Caenorhabditis elegans: one gene and its partners. The protein of the gene in region 2 purifies or fractionates together with the protein of the main gene of each other region. This does not show direct contact. Each region holds a gene or a part of one and is shown on either strand. Other genes may lie near its edges.

Evidence for each region.
Region 1: the proteins of eri-12 (region 2) and fbxc-51 fractionate together in Caenorhabditis elegans (co-fractionation; one large-scale study listed by BioGRID). This does not show direct contact.
Region 3: the proteins of eri-12 (region 2) and rnp-9 fractionate together in Caenorhabditis elegans (co-fractionation; one large-scale study listed by BioGRID). This does not show direct contact.

The regions. Positions count from the first base shown.
Region 1 is NC_003280.10:866,915-872,199, forward strand, and holds fbxc-51 (F-box C protein), read left to right. Parts: upstream 1-1,899; 5' UTR 1,900-1,916; coding exon 1,917-1,984; intron 1,985-2,337; coding exon 2,338-2,723; intron 2,724-2,891; coding exon 2,892-3,789; intron 3,790-4,510; coding exon 4,511-4,685; 3' UTR 4,686-4,785; downstream 4,786-5,285.
Region 2 is NC_003282.8:12,157,578-12,164,780, forward strand, and holds eri-12 (Enhanced RNAI (RNA interference)), read left to right. Parts: upstream 1-1,892; 5' UTR 1,893-1,902; coding exon 1,903-1,974; intron 1,975-2,021; coding exon 2,022-2,083; intron 2,084-2,128; coding exon 2,129-2,297; intron 2,298-2,353; coding exon 2,354-2,479; intron 2,480-2,970; coding exon 2,971-3,077; intron 3,078-3,125; coding exon 3,126-3,255; intron 3,256-3,977; coding exon 3,978-4,059; intron 4,060-4,109; coding exon 4,110-4,413; intron 4,414-4,489; coding exon 4,490-4,666; intron 4,667-4,716; coding exon 4,717-4,842; intron 4,843-5,236; coding exon 5,237-5,296; intron 5,297-5,344; coding exon 5,345-5,476; intron 5,477-6,004; coding exon 6,005-6,374; intron 6,375-6,422; coding exon 6,423-6,530; 3' UTR 6,531-6,692; downstream 6,693-7,203.
Region 3 is NC_003284.9:10,165,693-10,172,193, forward strand, and holds rnp-9 (RRM domain-containing protein), read left to right. Parts: upstream 1-1,612; 5' UTR 1,613-1,761; intron 1,762-2,351; 5' UTR 2,352-2,360; coding exon 2,361-2,459; intron 2,460-2,510; coding exon 2,511-2,603; intron 2,604-2,747; coding exon 2,748-2,808; intron 2,809-3,286; coding exon 3,287-3,374; intron 3,375-3,701; coding exon 3,702-3,777; intron 3,778-3,855; coding exon 3,856-3,975; intron 3,976-4,021; coding exon 4,022-4,088; intron 4,089-5,243; coding exon 5,244-5,431; intron 5,432-5,485; coding exon 5,486-5,632; 3' UTR 5,633-6,001; downstream 6,002-6,501.

The DNA.
Region 1 (5,285 bases), on a different chromosome or scaffold from region 2:
AGATCAAATATTCGAATATTTCTCTCTTTTATACTGTTAAAACGTGGAAACGTGTTCTTTTAAATTTTTAATTAATTTTTTTTTGAATTTCCGTACTAGTTCCATGTCTCAATGACCGATAGACGCATTTTCCACGCTGTTGACTAGCGCGTCAAGCGCGCTAGGCTTCGCAGTAGTTTAAGTTGGAAAACTCGGGAAAATTTTGATCATTTTGAATGAAAACTGATTGAGCCATGGTCATTTGAGATAATATTATTTCTGGGTCTTTTCTATCCGTGTATTCGGGCCTGCGGCCCTCAACCTGGATTATTGGGCTCAGAGTAGGCTTAAAGATTGTCCAATACTTCTATGTGTATTTGGGCCTGCAGCCCTCAATCCGAATTAACTGATCTTTTCAAATACAGACGTAGTCTCATAAAAGTCCTCCAGCCTGCTCTGCTGGAAGTAGGGATAGAAAAAGCCTAAAGTTTCTAAGAGTAAGCAGGCAGCCCTTATCCCTGATTTTTGGATTTGAGTGAAATGAAATAGCATTTGGCCTGTCCTGCTGAGGTTAAAAGTGGCCATAATGTTCAAAAAGTGCGGTCCTCAATATGATTGGAGCTATTGAAACAAATTGCTCAAAAAAAAACGCCAATCCTAAGCTAAGATATAAGTTCTCAAAGTGCAGTCACATTTCTCGGGACACCTCATGTCGAAAACGTGCCCTTATTTTTTATTTCTGTCAAGTGTGCAATTTACGGATTTAATATAGGAACACTTGAAAGCCCGGAAATGTCGGCTGCGGTTCTTGGTTGATTTTTTGTTAATACAAGCTTGAAAAATCTTGTGAGATGTCTTCTACTGTTTCGACATTTTGAAAGGAACCGGGAAAGTGTCGGCTGCAAACAAAGTTGATATTAAAGTCAGCATCCGACATCTCAATGGATGTGGCCAATTTTGAAATGGAAGCCTGTGCTAATGCACCATGATAAACCCGAATAAAAGGGCACTGAAGATCAATTTTCATTCTTTTTTTCGCATTTTTGGCGACCCAATATCTACCAATTTTCCAGCGTAAAGTTAATTTTCTGCCTGTTTTTTTTTTGCAAACACGGCAAATGTTGTAAACAACATATTAGTATCAAGGTCAGATTTGGTCCAAACCAGCATGATTCTTGCCCCCCTCTACCCTAAAATAGTTTGTCAAATAGAAGCCTCAATTGATTTTTCACATGAAAATTTTTCAAATACCAACTTAAAAATATCATAACTCAGCTGAAAGTTGAGCTAGCAAAAAGTTTTCCACCAACAAAATGTTTGAAAATTAATTTGAAATATTTTTGTAGTTGACAACTTTTCAATAGCTCAATTTTCAGCGGAGTTATGAGCTTTTGAACTAATTTTTCACAAAAAAAATCTATAGAATCTCTTTTATTCTAATTCTCCATTCACATCAAGTAGTCCGGGTACGTGTAGGCTCTCTATAGAGGACCGATGCTCAAGGTCAACAGAGATAAACATTCCCGCCCCGTCTGCGACAGATGGACAGAGGTCACCTAGTTATTTAGGGTAGTCTAATGGTCCCTATTGCCTCTCCAACGGGGGTATGTAATAGGGGGAAGACGGACAATTATTGGGTATTTTCCACAAGTTTTGAACTATTTTTTGGCTGTTTTGTCCGATTTCTGACAATTTTTGGACTATTTCTAGCTATTTTTCGACTATTTTTTTATATTTTCGTTGAAATTTTGCTATTTTTGGCTACACTCTGGCAATATTTTACTACTTTCGAATGCAGCTTTACTACTTTTTGGAAATTTGTTTACTAGATCATAGTCATTTTTTGTCAGTTTTTCACAATTTTCTCGTTTCTTTCAACGTTTTTCTCACTTTTCGCACCAATTTCCCACTTTTTTACAGGTAATAAATACCTACATATGAGCTTAACACCACTCCCATATGAGTGCCAGAAATGTGTACTACAGTTCTTTGAAGCTAATAGGAGGTATGCTTTTATTTTTTTTTGGAATTCTGATTGTAGAGCTGAAAAAAGTTTTTGAAAAGCTATTAAAGTTTAAAAAGAGTTTGGAATATATTTTAGTAGGTTACTTTTTCAGAGCAAAAGTTGATAAATTTACAGTCGATGCATCATGTTTTCCTCAACTTTAACAGCTCAAAATTCAATTTTCTTTGTGTAAAAATTTATTAAAACGGGCTTCGGTAGAAGTATAATAACTTAAGCAATTTTCTGTCGATGAACCATGTTTTGCTCAAATTTTGAGCCGTTCCTAGAAGTGGGGCAGCTACCAATATTATTTTTACTTTTAAACACCTATCAACCTACTTAAAATATTCCAGATTTAAATTAGTGGAACGATGTGACTCCCTAAAAGCAGCCGACAAAGCTGCTCCCCTCCACATCTACAAGCTCTACATGAATCCCCGTGTCATCCGAATCAACCGACATAGGTACACGTTAGGACTGCTCCGCCACCTACCGAAAGACCATGTCTACTATAGTCCATATATCAACAATGTGAACTTAGATGGAGGTGCTGCCTATGATATGGATCAGTATGGGCTTAAGGATCCCCGCTGCAATGAGGTTTTGAGCCCTGGAGATTTGAAAGTTGAAAGCAAGGAAAAAATTAATAATATGGAGGATATGACAATGGAGATGTTGCAATTTGCAATGCGGGATTTTATAAGACCACAGGGGCGGATGCAGGTGCAGCAGAGGGAAGGTAGGTGATAAGGAGTCCAGTGATATGTCGGCTGCTGTTTAAGAAAATTTAGAGCACTATCTCAGTTGACAAATTTGTGATAGCTTGATTTCTAGCTGAAATATGATAGCTTAAAGTGTTTCGGCGGCCAATTTTTGTTTCGGAAAATCTCAAAAATATATTTTTCAGACCCTGAAAGCTCTTCCGAAGATGATGAGGATGAAGCAGAAGATCTTCCAGCAGAAGGATCAGATGATGAAGACGATGACCCCCAGGAAGCTCAGATCCGGCGTATCCTCGGCGACGCTTACCTCCCAAGAGCACGCTATTCATCTTCAGAATCCGAAGCATCTGAATCCGAAGACGAGCCAGACATAGATCCAGCAGTCACCGACCAACTCGAAGCATACACGAATCCATACAGCTGGCGAGAGGAAAATGAACCAGCTCCATACAGATTTGGCATCAGATTCCAAAGGATGAACTTAGACTTCAGGCGGGACAGGGAGACTTTCCATGGGATCATTGAGTATCTGGATTATAACAAGAAAATGTATGATGCGATGAAGTATATCACAGAGAAGTTGTTCGGAAAAAGAGCTCACCCAATTGTGATAAAGACCCTGGAGCTTGGTGATGCAGGTGGGGTCTACCGACTCCCCGAGAATTTTAAAGTGAAAGTTTCCAATATGAGATTTGGTACGGAGTTCGGACTGCTTTGGGATGGTCTGAACAGTATTTTCCACGAGAGCACTCTGCCTTTCAAGAGCTTGCATATGCCTCTAGAGCACGACCACCCAGTTATCCATGCCACCCAGCGTCTGGTTATCGGAACTGAGAAAATGTTTGGGGAGAACTTTGCCTGGATCCCTTTCCTACTGAAGCTTCCACAGAAGAATGTCTACATGCTTCATAGTCCACTGTTCCATCATGACTATGTGCAGCTGATTGATAATTGGATCGAGACACCGAAGAGTATTGGGACCTGCTTTACGTTTGGTGTTAAGCAGTATCACGCCACCCAATCCACATTGAACTTGCTCGGGGATCATCCGATGGTTGTGAGCAAGAGGATGGAGGGAGTAGAGTAAGTTCGCAAAATTCAGGATGCATCGATGCACCAGCTGGAAATTTGGAGCTCCGATGCACCATGTTTTTAGGGAAAAGTCGACAAAAAATCTTCATTTAGTTTTTATTTGAACATTGCACTGATATGTAATACATCGAAATTTGAGTTTGAGGCTCTTTAAATAGATACAAACTACCTCACTTGTGCTTTTTCGAACTTTTCAAAAGCCCGTGAAGTGTCGGCCGCTGTAACTTTTCTCCTGGTAGAGCTAGTGGAAAGTTGTCAACTACAAGATTGTAGATGCTATTATTTGCAACGGTTTTGCAGTTGAGCAATTTTATGAAAGTAGTTGGGTTTTTGAGTTATGCTCTTTCGAAATTAGTTGTTTTTTTTTTGCAAAATTATCCAAAAACTAAAACTCAAATTTCTAACAACTTTTACAAAAACTTTCGTGTTGCAAATGCGTTGCAAAAATTCTGACTTACAATTTCAAATTTTTCTGTGGCAGAACCTGTTCTGCGGCGCGCAGGTTCGATTTTATGCAAAAATTTTTTTTTGAAGTTTAGCATTACACCTCAACTATGGAGGCTTATATCTTGATGGAAAATTGTTTACTGGCAAAATAATAAATATTACTTTCACTATAATTTTTTATTAAATATTCTAAAATTATCTAATGTACATACTAGTTTATAAACTTCCAAAGTTGGACTCTTCCCAAATTTTCCTTTTTTTCCAGCTGCACCGAATTCCCTCACTGCTTCAACATCCCGCTGACCTATGAATCCGAGCTTAATGTCTACGGTAAGAAGAGAACTGAAAACTTGGACCCTTTGGAGTTTATGCCACATGTCAGTTGGTGCCTGGTCTTCGAAGTGATGCCAATTGGAAGCGCTTTACCATTGGAGGACTGATTTTTCAATTTGCTAATTTTTTTTTTCAATTATGTCTTGTTGTCGTGTTTTTGATAATCTGAAATTTGTTGCGTGGATTTTAATAAAATGTTTTTTTGGTACTAAAAATGTTCCTAAATTTTTCTATATTTTGCTAGTTACCGGCTCAACGAAGGTGGTATATTTTAAAATCTGAATATCTGTAAATCTACAAAAGTTAGCAAAAGATTGTCAATTAACAAAATAATCTACGCAAATTGTTCTATAAGTTGTTAATTTACAAATTTTTTGTAGCTCAACTTTGAGCATAGTTATGATAGCTCTAAGTAGGGACAGGTTACCTGATTTTTATCAATTTTAAAACTTAAATATCTCCAAAAGCATCAAAGCTAATAAAAAATGTTGGGTATCTACGTGTACCTTACCCTTAACGTGGATATGAAGATCGTGTAACGTGAACTCATTATCTATGTATACTAACTTTCTATTTATTCCTTAGTTATGTAATAATAAACTACTCGTCTTCGCCTCCTTGTTCGGCCTCGAATATATAACATTGGCGATCAGGATCTTTCGGGCTCACTGCACCACTGACTTCATGCACATGTCTACTTAGAAGAA
Region 2 (7,203 bases):
GTATGTCTCACTTATGACACAAATGCAGTAGGTGGTAGGGCTTAGGGCTGAAACTTTTAAGTTTTTTTTTGGGACCAAAAAAATTAAAAAATCCGAAAAAAAAACAGAGTGCCGTGTCGAGTCTCGACTCGAGACTATTCTGAATTAAAATTCATAAAAACATGTATTTTATACAGTTTTTACAGTTGTGTATTTTAATACATTTTGCAACATCCCCATTAAAAATAAACTCGGGCAACAAACATTTTTGGTTTTTCAAAAATTTCAATTTTTGGTTTTTTGGTCCAAAATTATTTTTTGGTTCCATCCCAAAAGCCAGTATATGGGTGTAGCTTCGTTCTAAATGATTTTGTTTTATAGCGAACCTTTTGACGTAGTATGTTGTCATTATCTTCATCATTGTACAGCAAAACAAACCAAACATATTAGCGGATCACTCATTTTACTGTTGTTTATTGCCCCCCTCTATCTCCACACTCTATGCCTCTTGACATTACCGATAGTCCTCTTGCCCTCCTTTTGTTGCCATCTGCTGTCCGCATCTCTCTCTCTCTCTACCTCTTCTTCCAAGTTTATCGATTTTTGTTAGCAGAACATACGATATTGGCAATTCGAAGCCATAACGTGGTTGTTGCTGCCACTGTTTCGAAAGCTATAACATTTATGTTTCCCCCCGCTCTGGAAAAAAATTGTGTTGCGATTTCTCTTTCTTTCGTTTGTTTATTTCGCATTTGAAGCCTCTGGTGTTCCATTTTTCAAACAAGTCAATTTCTCGGAATTTATTTCCAAACTTTTTGTAAAACGATTGTTGCTCAATTCTGCCAGAATTAAGTGAATTTATTACTCATGTATGATATTTAATATAAGCTATTTTAAGAACAATTATTCCTGCCTCATACGCTCACTGACAAAGCGCACATGTTATTTGAGTTTTCAATTAACTAATTGATTTGTGAATCTACACTGCAGTGGGCAGGTATATCGGTTTCAATACCGACTTCGCTACGAAAGAAATTTTAACTTAAAAAAATTTAAAATTTCAATGAAAGTTTGTGAAAAATTTCAAGATCTGACCTCAAGCGAAAATACTTTAAAATTACGTTATCATTTCAAAAACTATAGAAATGTTTTGATCTACGGTTTTCACACATCTAGCTAAACTTTTTTCAAATAGTTTAATGCTATTTACTTGCCAATATGAATTGAAACTATTTTAGAGTATATCTGAAAAATTATAGTTGCAGTTTTTGACATTTGATGCTAACCGGACACAAATCAATAGGATTTTTGTATTGACTTAGTATTTTTTGAAATTTTCAGCGAAATTCTGAAAGGCACACCTTGTGCATATCTAACTTCCACATGAGTGTTGTTTTCAGTTGTGTTGTTTCTCTTCTTCCAACTGTATAATAAAAACCCCCTAGAACATTTATGAGGCTCTTCACCCTTTTATCAATCTGCGTGCCAAAATTCGAACGAATAGTTAGTAGGCAGGCACGTAGGTATGTTTGTTCTGACCTTCTTCGCTCAACTTTAGCGGTTTATATTTCGGTTGTTCATGTGAAGCTGTAAAAATTGAATTGGGGACCATTTTCCAAAAAACTATATATTTGACTTTTTCGTTGATTGCACCAAAATAGGGTTTCAACTATTTTCTTCCATGTATCATTAACTTAATATATGCCTACTCGTTTTTAAGATTACACCCAGAAGCACAAATGTAAAGCTCTGCTATGTTCTGTATCATTTCGTTTCCATCATTTCTCGCCGTTTTCATATCAAAAAACTTAGAATGGGAGAATCTGTCAATTAGTAAACGTATACATTTTTTGGCACCTGTAATTCAGATAAACGAATTCGAAAAAACAAAACAATTACATTTTTTATTTCAGTGTCACCGTCATGTCGTCGCAAAAGTCTGGAATTGTCGTGCAAAGTGATGAGACCCATATTCTCATTTCTTCAAGTCATGATGTGAGTTTTTTCTATTTTTAAAAAATTTAAAACTTATTTTTTCCCAGATATTCGTGGCAGATCCAGACCAAAATACAAAGTTGGGCGATTCGGTTTCCTTCACGACTTGGTAAGTTTTTGAAATATAATGACTTTCTTTATATTTTATTTTCAGGGACATCGCCAACAATTTGAAACGTGCCTCTGACATCAAACCACGGAACCAGATTGTTGAATCCGTTGTGTATGAGCAAGATCAATCATTGAGGCTCAGATTGAAGATTTTGGGGTTTTACGACTTCACCAAATCTCAGCAAAGAGTTTTTAGAACTGACTTCATTACGGTAAGAATTTCCAGAATGCCCAGGTTGTCAGTTATTATGAAACTTTCAATTTTCAGCAAGTTCGAGAAGGAGAGAAATTCAAGTATCTTCCGAAAAACGCATTTTTCGGAAGGCAGATTACAGTCAAACTGACCCACCAGAAAAACTCAATTGTGTGGGAACTTGATGAATTCGAAGAACCCGTAAGTTTTTTGATAGATTTTCCAAAGAGGTAAGATGTAAGCCCGACCCTCTCTCGCAATCTAGTTTCGCTAGGGGCTAAATTATTCAAAACCACTACTACATAGGGCTAAAATTTAAAAAAAGTTTTTGAAAATTATTTTTTGGTAAGTCAAAATGTTTGAGAACTTACTTTAGTTTTCACCACTCAAAAATTTGAAATTCAACCATACAAATATTTTATTACGAGTTTAAAATTTTAATTGCGTTTTAAAGGTTTGTATTTAAATTCTCTGTGTTTAAACCTACAACAATAACAAAAATTTTGATAAAAAATTTTGAAAAATCTAATACTTTTTGGAGTGTGTTTTATTATACATTAACCATGACCGATAGGGTGCGAAGAGGGTGATTGAAGATACGCCCTCGTGGCACCTCGATCAAATATCTGGTTTTTTATGTTTTATTAGGAAATCTTATATCTTATAACATTATAACAACTTAATTGTTTCAGAAAGAGAAGACGTATTCATTAATTGGCCAGATTTACTACACTGATTTCAGTGATGCATATGTCTATGTTCCAGGATATCCTGAACCGTTTGTAATATCGAAGGAAACGTTAGTTGTGCAGACTTTTGGGATCTCTACCAATCATCAATATTTCAGTAACTTCAGCCGATCAGAAGAAGGCACATGGGTCAAGTTCTTAGCCTGTACGGCGACAGCTTCTGTGAAGAAATCGGAAGGATTTCAATTCCTGGAAAAGGATCTATTAGATACCAACAGGAATAGAGAAGTGAGTGAATAATATTGACAAAAAATTTAATTAAGCTTTATCCGATAATGATTTTTCCAAATCTAAATCTTTTGAAAGCTAAAGCCATTGAGAACAAAAAGATAAAAAACTATTGAAAAATTTAGTAAGAAAAAGTGATGCAAAAAGCCAGTAAGTGGGCGGGGCTTAATCTGATACTGTACATGATGTGGAAACACGAAAAAGGGTATATGTATTCCTAAAGTTATTTTTATAAGCTCAAAGTCTGTTCTTTGTTCTGTTTAAAGTTTGTAGTATTTAAGAAAATATCCAAGTAAACCCCTCTCGTATCATGGCTTTTTGGATTTTCTGAATTAATTTTTTTCTGTATACTCCTAGGCATGTTTTCTATGAGCCTGCTTTGCGCCTATTTTCCGCATTTTGGAGTGATATCCGGTGTTTGTAGGTTCACTTCGGCAGCAGGCACGCTTGTATGTCTAAGCAGGCTTCTCTGCCTACATGGAAGGCCTACCTTACTATTTAATATTATTCATAAATATCAGAATGGAATAGGTCTTCCATGGTAGATATGCGCAGTTTCAGGGTCTGACTCCTGCCTGAAACCTATCTGCATTTTGGCGTGAATCAATGTACATATAATGATATCATTTAACTAATTTTGACGAATAGAACATTTGAAAAAACCCCAAATTTTTAATTCATTATTAAGTATAAACCGCAAAACGTTTATGAATTTCATTCAGATTGCCATCAAATGTTCCCGCAAAGATGGAATCATCCAATCACATCATTTTGAAAAGGTTATCGATAAGGATAACAGATTAGGTAAGATATTCATCAAAAGACACATTTTTCGAAGAAAATTTAAATTTCAGCTGATTATGGAGTTCTCTCGGATTTTGAAAATGTTCTAATCTATGTCAAGGTTTCAATGGAAGGTGTCAGCAAGAAGCCCTCGCTGATTCTTGGACAATTTCAAACGAGTTTCAACGTGAACCCCACGCTCACAAGAGATCAAAAAGAAGCACTCGATCCTCCAAAAAGAATTCTCAAGAAGCAGTCTTCTCTTCCAAGAGAGGGGTCATCCCGAAAACAAGTCACACAAATTCAAAACTTGTCAAGAAAAATCGAAACCGGGCCAAGAATCAATTTTCTCCCCAACTTTAATAATCAGGATCAGTGAGTCTTTTTATTCAATTCAATCTCTATGTACACAACATTTTCTATTTTTTTTCCAACTTTAATTCTATTCCAGCGGCAGTGAATTCTTCTCGGACAATGAAGAAATGGATTTGGTTCCACCACTTGAGAATTCCCATCTTCGAGTTGATCCGGTTCCTGTTCCTATTGAACCGTCGATTCAACAAAATCGAACGACAACCACTGCTCCAATCTCAGCACCCGCGAGACGTATTTCAAGTAATGAGTCAAGGTGAGGATTTTCAACTTAACTTAAATATGATAGTATTAACCCAGTTTTAGACGAGAAAATCCAAATTCACAACCAGCACCTTCAAAAATGCAAAACGTTTTCCGAGAAGACCCAGAAGCTGAGTATAAGCGTCCAGAAAGAAGCAATGCTGATAATGATGAAACTTCAAGCACGATGTTAGTATAGAAACTTGAGTGTTTGTTCTGTTATGTCAACTTTCTGGAATAATTGTCAATTTATTTTAAACCGCTTAAATTACCAATCCGGTCCTTTGCAATGTCTCAAAAATTATTCTGTTTACAAATTCATGAAAACTTTTTTCTTACAAAAAATTTGAAAGAACCGCTAAATTTAAGAAGTTTCTAAAATATGCCAAAGGTTGCCAGAAACCTGCACCTAGTTTACGCACATCCTCACTGTTTTCTTATTATGCAAAGTTTCTGAAACCAAACAGAAAATATCTATAACTCAAGATATTTCTAGAATTGAAACTTTAAACTAACAAGCTATTTTGGTTGCATAAATAATTAGATGTTTGTTGAATTGTCTGAAATTTGTATTAAGTTTCAGATCTGCGTGCTCTTCAAAAAGCCGCATTGTTCGTGAGAATCCAGATGCCAATTATGAAAGGTATTCTATTGAGAAATAATATAAGCAATATATCAATTCCACTTTTAGGCCTGCTCGTCGGCTCCCAACTCCTCCCTTGGAAGCAAACGACAACTTGGAGCATCAAAGCCATGATTCATCATCGACAGACGGCTTAAGAGACACTTCACCTGTTGGAAACAACACGAACCCCCGCTCAGGGTGAGTTATGCATGTTTGGGAAAATTTAAAGCCATATTACGGGTGCCCCAGAGCTAGGGATGGCAATCGGCAAGTCCGGCAATTGCCGAAATTGCCGTAATTGCCAATCCATTTTCGGCATTTTTCAAACCTAATTATATTTCGGAAATTGAAAAAAAATTCACATTGTTTTTTGTATTCGGTTAGTCATTTTCTAACAGAAACATTCAATCCTTTAAAAATTGCATAAGTTTGAGCTTGAAAATAGAAAATTGTTTATTGAAATGCATGTTTAGGCTCCTCTACAAAAAGTAACAAATTTATATTTCCGACAATTCTAGCAATTGCCGGTTTACAAACTTTCTGAGAATCGGTAATATTGGCAATTGCCGCTTTTGTGAATGTTGGGCAATCGGAATTTTCGGAAGTTGCCGAGTTACCGAATCACATGACAATCGTATTTTTTACTAAAAAGAAAGATAATTTTAAATCAATATTACTAGACACAGTTCCCCTGAATTATTCTATCAAACGTGGAAGACATTATAGATCACCAAGTTGCCACTCCGACACACATTCAAGCGTGTCAAGTTCATTATGGATCACCACTATCAACTCATCAAAAGATTTGGAATTTGTTAAAAACGAATATATCAAACTTTGGATTGAAGATCAGGCTTCACAAAAAGAAATGAAGAATCTCAAGGCAAAGAGGATCGAATTGAAAATGAAACAGAAGAAATTGAAAGCTGAGCTCAACGATGAAAAGATGAAGAATCAGAAATTGGAAGAGGCAGCTTTCAACGACAGAAAAGAAAAAGCTGAGTTGAAAAAGAAAGTCTCCAATTTGGAACAATCTGCGCAAAACACCCAGAGAACTCTGCAAAATCAAACCAGAGAATTGAACTTATATAGTACCGTAAGTCCTTCTACTGAAGCTTCCACCTAATTAACTGCACTATTTCAGAACAGATCCTGGCTCCGAAAAGAGTTTAACAGTACTAACCTCTTGGAGCATCTCCGACGCAACTACCACGACCTTTCCAAAAGATTGGAACAATTTGCCTTTAATTGAAAAAAATGGCAAGATACACATAACTCCTGTACCAGTTATCTGAAAAAAGATGACTTCATTTACTAATTGAAACTGAATTTTGATGCTGTCAATTCTTGTAACATTCATTGATTGTAACTGAAATGTGAAAACATTGCTGGATAATAAATTCATTGTTAATAATAGAGCTTTAAATCATATGGAACTTTCAAAAAACAACTTGAGAAATTCAGAATAAAACTATTTCAGATTTGTAACGAAGCATGTCACGCAGATGGAACATTTTTCAGAAAAGCTGCAGTATCTAAAACAATTTCAGAGTGTGGCTGAAGATAATAATTTTTTGGAATTTAGAGTAAATTTTTACTGGCAGCTAAACTAAAACCGGAATTTCAATTGAATTTTGAACGGTGAGTGCCGATTTTTTTGTTTATAAAAATATTCAGAAATGAATGAGTGAATCTGTGAAATTTTAACAAATTTGGGTGTTTGTGGTTGACGATAATAATTTTTGAAACTTGCATTTTTTTTTTGGAATTTGGAGTAAATTTTTAATATACTGCTGAAAGTTGTTCCAATTTTGAAGAATAACTTGAAAGCCTTTCCAAGAACAGATCGTTGTTGAAAATTGTAAAATTAGTGCAAACCGTTCCAAATACACTCGGCATTTGGCTCCAGCTTCCTGCCCAAGGTT
Region 3 (6,501 bases), on a different chromosome or scaffold from region 2:
AGGATATAGTACACAAATACATACTGCTTCAGAATGTTCAACCATTTAAGGATACATTTGATTCAAGTAATTTTAATAATTAATTTTTTTGTTTGTATGTAATTTATACAAATCAGAAAATGTTGGTCGTTTACAGATTGAGTCATCTTATTGTTTTTAATCATTGATCTTCGTGACAAAAATGCCGCTCGTTTCCCAAAAATCTATTCCCTTTTTGGAATACGCCATCAAGGCGGATTTTCAATCTTGAAGTATCATTTCCTGAAGTTTTGATATAAGAATAAAATATTATAATTGTAAACTTTATTGATTACAAATCGATTTTGAAGTTGATATTCTTGTTTAACATTTTAATCCTGAAAACACATTAACAAGAAACGTGCTTCATTTGCGCTAAAGTTTTTATCTTTGAAAAAGTCAATGGACTAACATTTTTAGCTACCTGCTTTTAACTACTATTAAGCTTAAGCGATTCGAAAAATTACGGTCTTCACGTCTGTCACTGTGAAACTCTTTTTCTCCTATTTGTAATGTTCTTCACCTAATAAACTGGTGGTTGTATCGATTTGTTGTTCGTCTTCCTTTCCAATACGAATCTGATTGTTATTGTTCAAAAAAGGAACATTTTTATTTCCTCTCGGCTGACTCCGTGCACACTGTCTATTCCTCCCTATTCACAAGCATTAAAACATTCTTTGTTCGTGTCCACCGTTGTCTATTTTTTTTGCCTTCTGCTAAAAGCTCTTTCAGATGCATGAATCTATGAATTTAGGTGTCTCGATTTGGTGCGAGACCCTATTCTCACAGTTGAAGACATTTTCCGCCTTTTTTTATGGGGCCCATGCCTCTCTCAAATATCATTTGTTTATTCCATTTTGCGTATTACCGCTATTCAGCCACACGAACCCTCTAGTGCATTCGTTGCTCATTTTTCGAGTGAGACTAATGGACTACTACTAGATGAATAGGAAAATGAAAATGGAAGAATCCTGAGCTCTCTTACATGAAGAATGACAACGTATAAAAAAGTCAAAGGAAAGGAAAGGTGCTCAAGCTAGATGAGAAGAATAAAAGGAGGTCACAAGGGGTGGGCACTCGGTAAATCTCAAATCTGGTGGGAATGGATGGTAAAATCACAAGAATGAAACGACGTTCCGCTCTTGAGCCCATCGTGAGAAACAACACTGGATGGGTTAAATGTGGAGTCCGGTCTTAGCTCCCAAGTTTGTTGCACATTTTTTCCTTCCCTTCCTTTCCATCCTCTTATTCGCATTTTTCTTGTTTCCGACATAGTCTACACCTCAATATATTCTATTGTTTTCGACTTTCTTAATTAGTTCTCCACCCAATTCCCCTTGGGACAAGGCGGAGCACATCACTCTGCTACAAGAAGATGCTCGGCCATGAAAAATGAATATTGCACCTTCTTCCTCCTTCTACTTTTTTATTTTTTGACTCATTTTCCGGTTATATTCCTTGCCACATTTTTCCATTTATCGATAATCCATTATCACAGTTTAGTTACCTTGTTAGTTTCGCGAGGGATTTGAAAACAAATCTCTTGGCTCTGTTTTTGCTCTTATTTTTCAATGGGAATGCTAATCCGATTCACAGCGTTTTTCCAGGAACATTTGCATTCTTCTCACATTTAAACAAGTCCTGGAACACCACAGTGGTGTTAGTACACAATTCAAGCTGAAACGATCACAGGACCTCATCTCCGTACACGAAGCCGAATATGGTTCGGCTCAGCAGGCGAAGGTAGGTGACTTTTTAGAAATTGAAAGCAATTCGTTGGTACTAAAACCGAGGGCAGTACAAGAACATTAGCATGTGCTTGTAATAAGCCATGTAATTGTTATTCCCTTTTTTTGCTCATAATAGGTAATGCAAATTTGCAATAGATTTTTTAATTGCCACATTCCCGTCAGTAATTTTCCTGGCAAAGAAAAGGAACACAATCTGATCAATCATAAAAAAGAAAGGTGGTTTACAATTCTAAATAAATACAAATGGATAATGCATCTGGTTTCTGTAGAAATAGTGACGTGAACGTTGTTAAGTATGTTCAACAATTGATTTTCTCAAGTTGTCAGAAATATTTAAGTTGTTGCTTTTCCAAATGTTAAGCAGAGAAAAAACAACACTTTTAGTTAAAACAAGCTTCCCAAAACTAAGTTTTATTACATATTGTCTGAATTCACAGGTTAACTGATATGTTTCGAACGATTTTTTAGAAGCAATCACGTGCAATTTTGAGATTATTCTTTCTAGATTAGTCTTTCATATTGATTCTTTCTGAAAAATTGAACTTTGTCAAAACACAGAAATGTTTAAAACAGTCCTTGCAGAAAGCACTCATGTGCTTACCAACTGCGACTCCTCAGACATCCTTGCTTTACTCTCAACAAATGCCTATGAAAAACCTATACTCGCAGTTCCCGGCAGGTTTATTAGACGTAGGTTGATCGGATATTGTGCAACTCAATAATTCATATACCTGTGTTCAGACACAGTCGATTCAATCCTTGGACACATGTCCTCTGCTTCTCCAGACCGCCAGCCTTCCTTCTTTGTCACACATCGGTCTTCCACACTCTTTGGTTTGTTCATTTGCCCATTTCCGCTTATTTCGCACCCTTCTTTCCCCCTTTAGTTACCCTTTCCTCTCGCGCCAATCTTTTTGTCCGATCGAAATACATTCAACTAGTACGGATTCTCATTTGGCAAATGCAATTGTGTTGCAGGAATCAGCCGTGTTGCACTCAGCCTCGGAGCCGCCGATGGAGATGCGAATTGATACAAGCAGTGAGTGTAGATTTGCAGATTTGGATGAAAAGTGTGAAAAATGAATTTGTTTGAATCAAAGATCCTATCAATCTTTATTTTTCAATTACTTTTCTGGCGCCGTATTGGTGTCAGGTCATAAGTCAAAATAGCTGTGAAAAAATATGAGACCAAAAAAAGAAGATAAAGATAAGTCATTTGATTGACCTTATCAATCACACAGACGGATTCACTTTTTTTTTTCAAAACCGTTCTGGGTGTTATTGTATTCTTTGGTTGTTCTTATCACCCTTATCAGACAATTCGAGGTTGTTTAGCCTCATAGCTGCTAACCGTTTTTCTTGAAAGTCACACGTTTTTTATCGTTTTTTATGTTCCGTGGTCAAGAATTGGAAAATATGAAACTGACGACCAAGATGAGATGAAATGAAACCATGCGTGCCAGCACTAAAAAAGAAGAAGATTAGCAATGCAATATCATTTCTTTGCTTCTTTTCAGAGCATTTTCATGTTTTTGTCGGGGATTTGAGCAAGGACGTGAGCAATGAGCTTTTAAAATCAACGTTTACAAAATTCGGAGAAGTCAGGTAAATTTGAGGATAAAATACTTAATTTTGCTTGAACACGTTAACACTATACAAAAGAGTTCGAATCAAAAAACAAACAACACCCTCGTCATTTGGATTTAAAAAAACTTACATAACTTATTTTTTTGAGTAACTAGCAATTTTCCATAAAAATTTTTAAAAGAGTATATCGAAACCGTACTTGGCAAAAAAATATCATCATTCCCAAACCGAAATTTAATAAATTTTATGACAAAATATTGAGCAAAACTGAAAGCAATATTCTCCAACCATTGTTAGATTTTTTACCCAATCTTGACATTTATACCGCGGAAGTATTTTTTTCAGTGAAGCTAAAGTGATTCGAGATGTTCAGACTCAGAAATCAAAAGGATACGGATTTGTGTCATTTCCCAACAAACAAGTTAGTTTCTCTCTGTTTTTTTTACGAAGCCCATTGGTCCTATTTATTTTCGTCGAGAAAACTGAGCCTTGTTTTTAGAATGCAGAGAACGCGATAGCCGGAATGAACGGAAAATGGATTGGGAAACGAGCTGTGCGGACCAACTGGGCGGCACGAAAAAACAGCGAGGAGAATCGCGACAAGCTGACTTTTGAACAGGTGAGATGTTGTAACGTTAAATCTCAATAAAACATGACAGCTCCAGGTGTTCAACTCAACGAAAGCCGATAACACGTCAGTTTATGTTGGGAACATAAGTCAACAGACTACAGGTTAGTTATAGGTAGACAGTGTACTTCATATCAGTCATTAAAAAGGAAATAAATAGAGTTTAAGTTTTTGAAATAAAGAAAACAATCTTTAGAATTACATCTATAGTTTCTTCTGAAATTTAAAGAATTGGGAAATTTGCATTAATAGAGAGACCGTATACTGCTCCGGTAACCAATGGTGAAAGTTGTAGTAGCGCTAGTGGGTAAATTGCTAAAAACCAGTTCCATGGGGACTAAATGGCCAAATATTATGGCCAAAAAAATAGTAAAACTTTCCAAAAATTGTTTTGAAAATTTTTTATTGGCAGTTCGCGATCGCTTTAAGTCACTTTTATAGAAAACTACGCACTTTTATAGAAAACTACGCAATCAAACGAAAAAAGTAATTTTACAAATTAAAAAAAATACTTTTACTGAAATATTTCGTCATTGTGGTTCCATATGCATGTTTCAAAGCAATTTCCCCATTGGCTCTACTCCGCAGTGAAACATCGAAGTTTATAATTGTTATAAATTTTATTTGACAAATAATATTGGAAACTTAATTGAAACGTTTATTTTTTTTAGAATTTTTCCAAATCATACTAATATTTTTGATATAGGTTTTCCGTGAAATTTAATTTTTTAAAGTAAACTAGTGTTATTGAGCATTTGGATAATACAAACTGATTTTTAAGAAGTAAGTTGACAGGCGTTGTAATTTTAATTTTGCTAATTTCGCAATGCACATCTATGATACATCTTTGAACAAATTAATAGCAATAGTTTTAAAAAGTTAATGCTCTATCTGATACATTTTACTTGTACTGGTTAAAATGGTATTTTTGCAGGCATTTTTTAATGTTTACAATCAAATTAAGACACTGTAGTTGTTGACAAAACATAAAACCATTAAAAGATCATTTCAATTTCTCGAATGGCCTTATTCGGTAACTTTCCCATAGTTTATTAACAGAGTAAACCAGTTCCATGTCTTTATCTCATTAACAAACTTTCTAACGGATATGAGGCTATCATCATTTTTCCTCATCACATCCTACTGCTTGACACTTCCGCCTGGTAGACAGTGAGAACGTCCCATGAAATTTGATAAATGACTTTCTGCCTTTTATCCTATCACTGCCATATGTTATATCTATGTACATATTTTTATAGACGCTGATCTCCGCGATTTATTCTCAACATATGGTGATATAGCGGAAGTGCGTATTTTCAAAACCCAAAGGTACGCGTTCGTCAGATATGAGAAAAAAGAGTGTGCCACAAAAGCAATAATGGAGATGAATGGAAAGGAGATGGCTGGAAATCAAGTCAGATGTTCCTGGGGAAGAACTCAGGCAGTGGTAATAAATAATCAGTTATCAAATGCTTTGAAAATCACAGTATTTAATTTGCAGCCTAATCAAGCATTAAATCCTCTCCCAATTGATTTGTCATCCTTGATGATGCCTACAATGCTTCCAACTACAATCCCACTAATTCAAAATCCCTTCTTGAACTACGAGCCAGCCACTCTTTTGTACAGTTCCTTCCCACAATGGTGATTAATTTATTAAGACTCTTTAGGAAGAAAATGAAACGCAAAAGGAATAATGAGTCAGAACACGGTTACTTTTTCAAATTTCAAAATATTTAAATTTCCGCTTTTTTGTGAGTGATTCAATGTTTTTTTTTCTTTTTTCGAGTTTCCGGTGTTTCATTTTCCATCACAGTTTTCTTCCTACAAATAGAGGTCCGAGTACATTTTTTCTTGTTCATTTTTAACTTTTCTTCCCGTCTGATGTTTCCTGAGTGGTTCTTTTTACTTCTTTTCTGTCATTTTCCTGCTATTCATATTTTCACATTTTTCACAGAATGATAATCATTTTTGTTTGTGCAAAGGGATTTTAATAAATTATTACAATGGGATAATTGAATGAAAGTTCAAAAGCTGTGTATGTGTGGGAAGGATAGAGAAACATAGAGAGAACTAAAGCATTATGCTATTAATGTTTCAAATCATCATGACTAAGAATGTTCACGTAACAATTTATCTGCTTGACAACACTTTTAGATTATTTGCGAAATTTTTTTTTCAGAAAATTTCAATTCCAAATTACTAAGAAAAAGTTTCAAAACTATTGTTCATTTTACACGTGTCTGCACTTTCAAGATGTTTTCCGGTGATCTCATGATTTGAATAATGTGTCCACCTACACTCATTTTTGTTAGGGTCAGCAAAGTGGTATTCCAAAAACCAAAAACCTGATACTTTGCATTGTCGAATAAAATTGAAATTAAATTTTCAAAGTACAATGTCCTTCTAGGGGCCCACCCATTATTTCATGCGTCATAAGAGTCTGTATGTCTGCTACCAACTATCAGATATAAAGTGACTGTATCTTAACTATACAGCATACTGATTTCACAAATC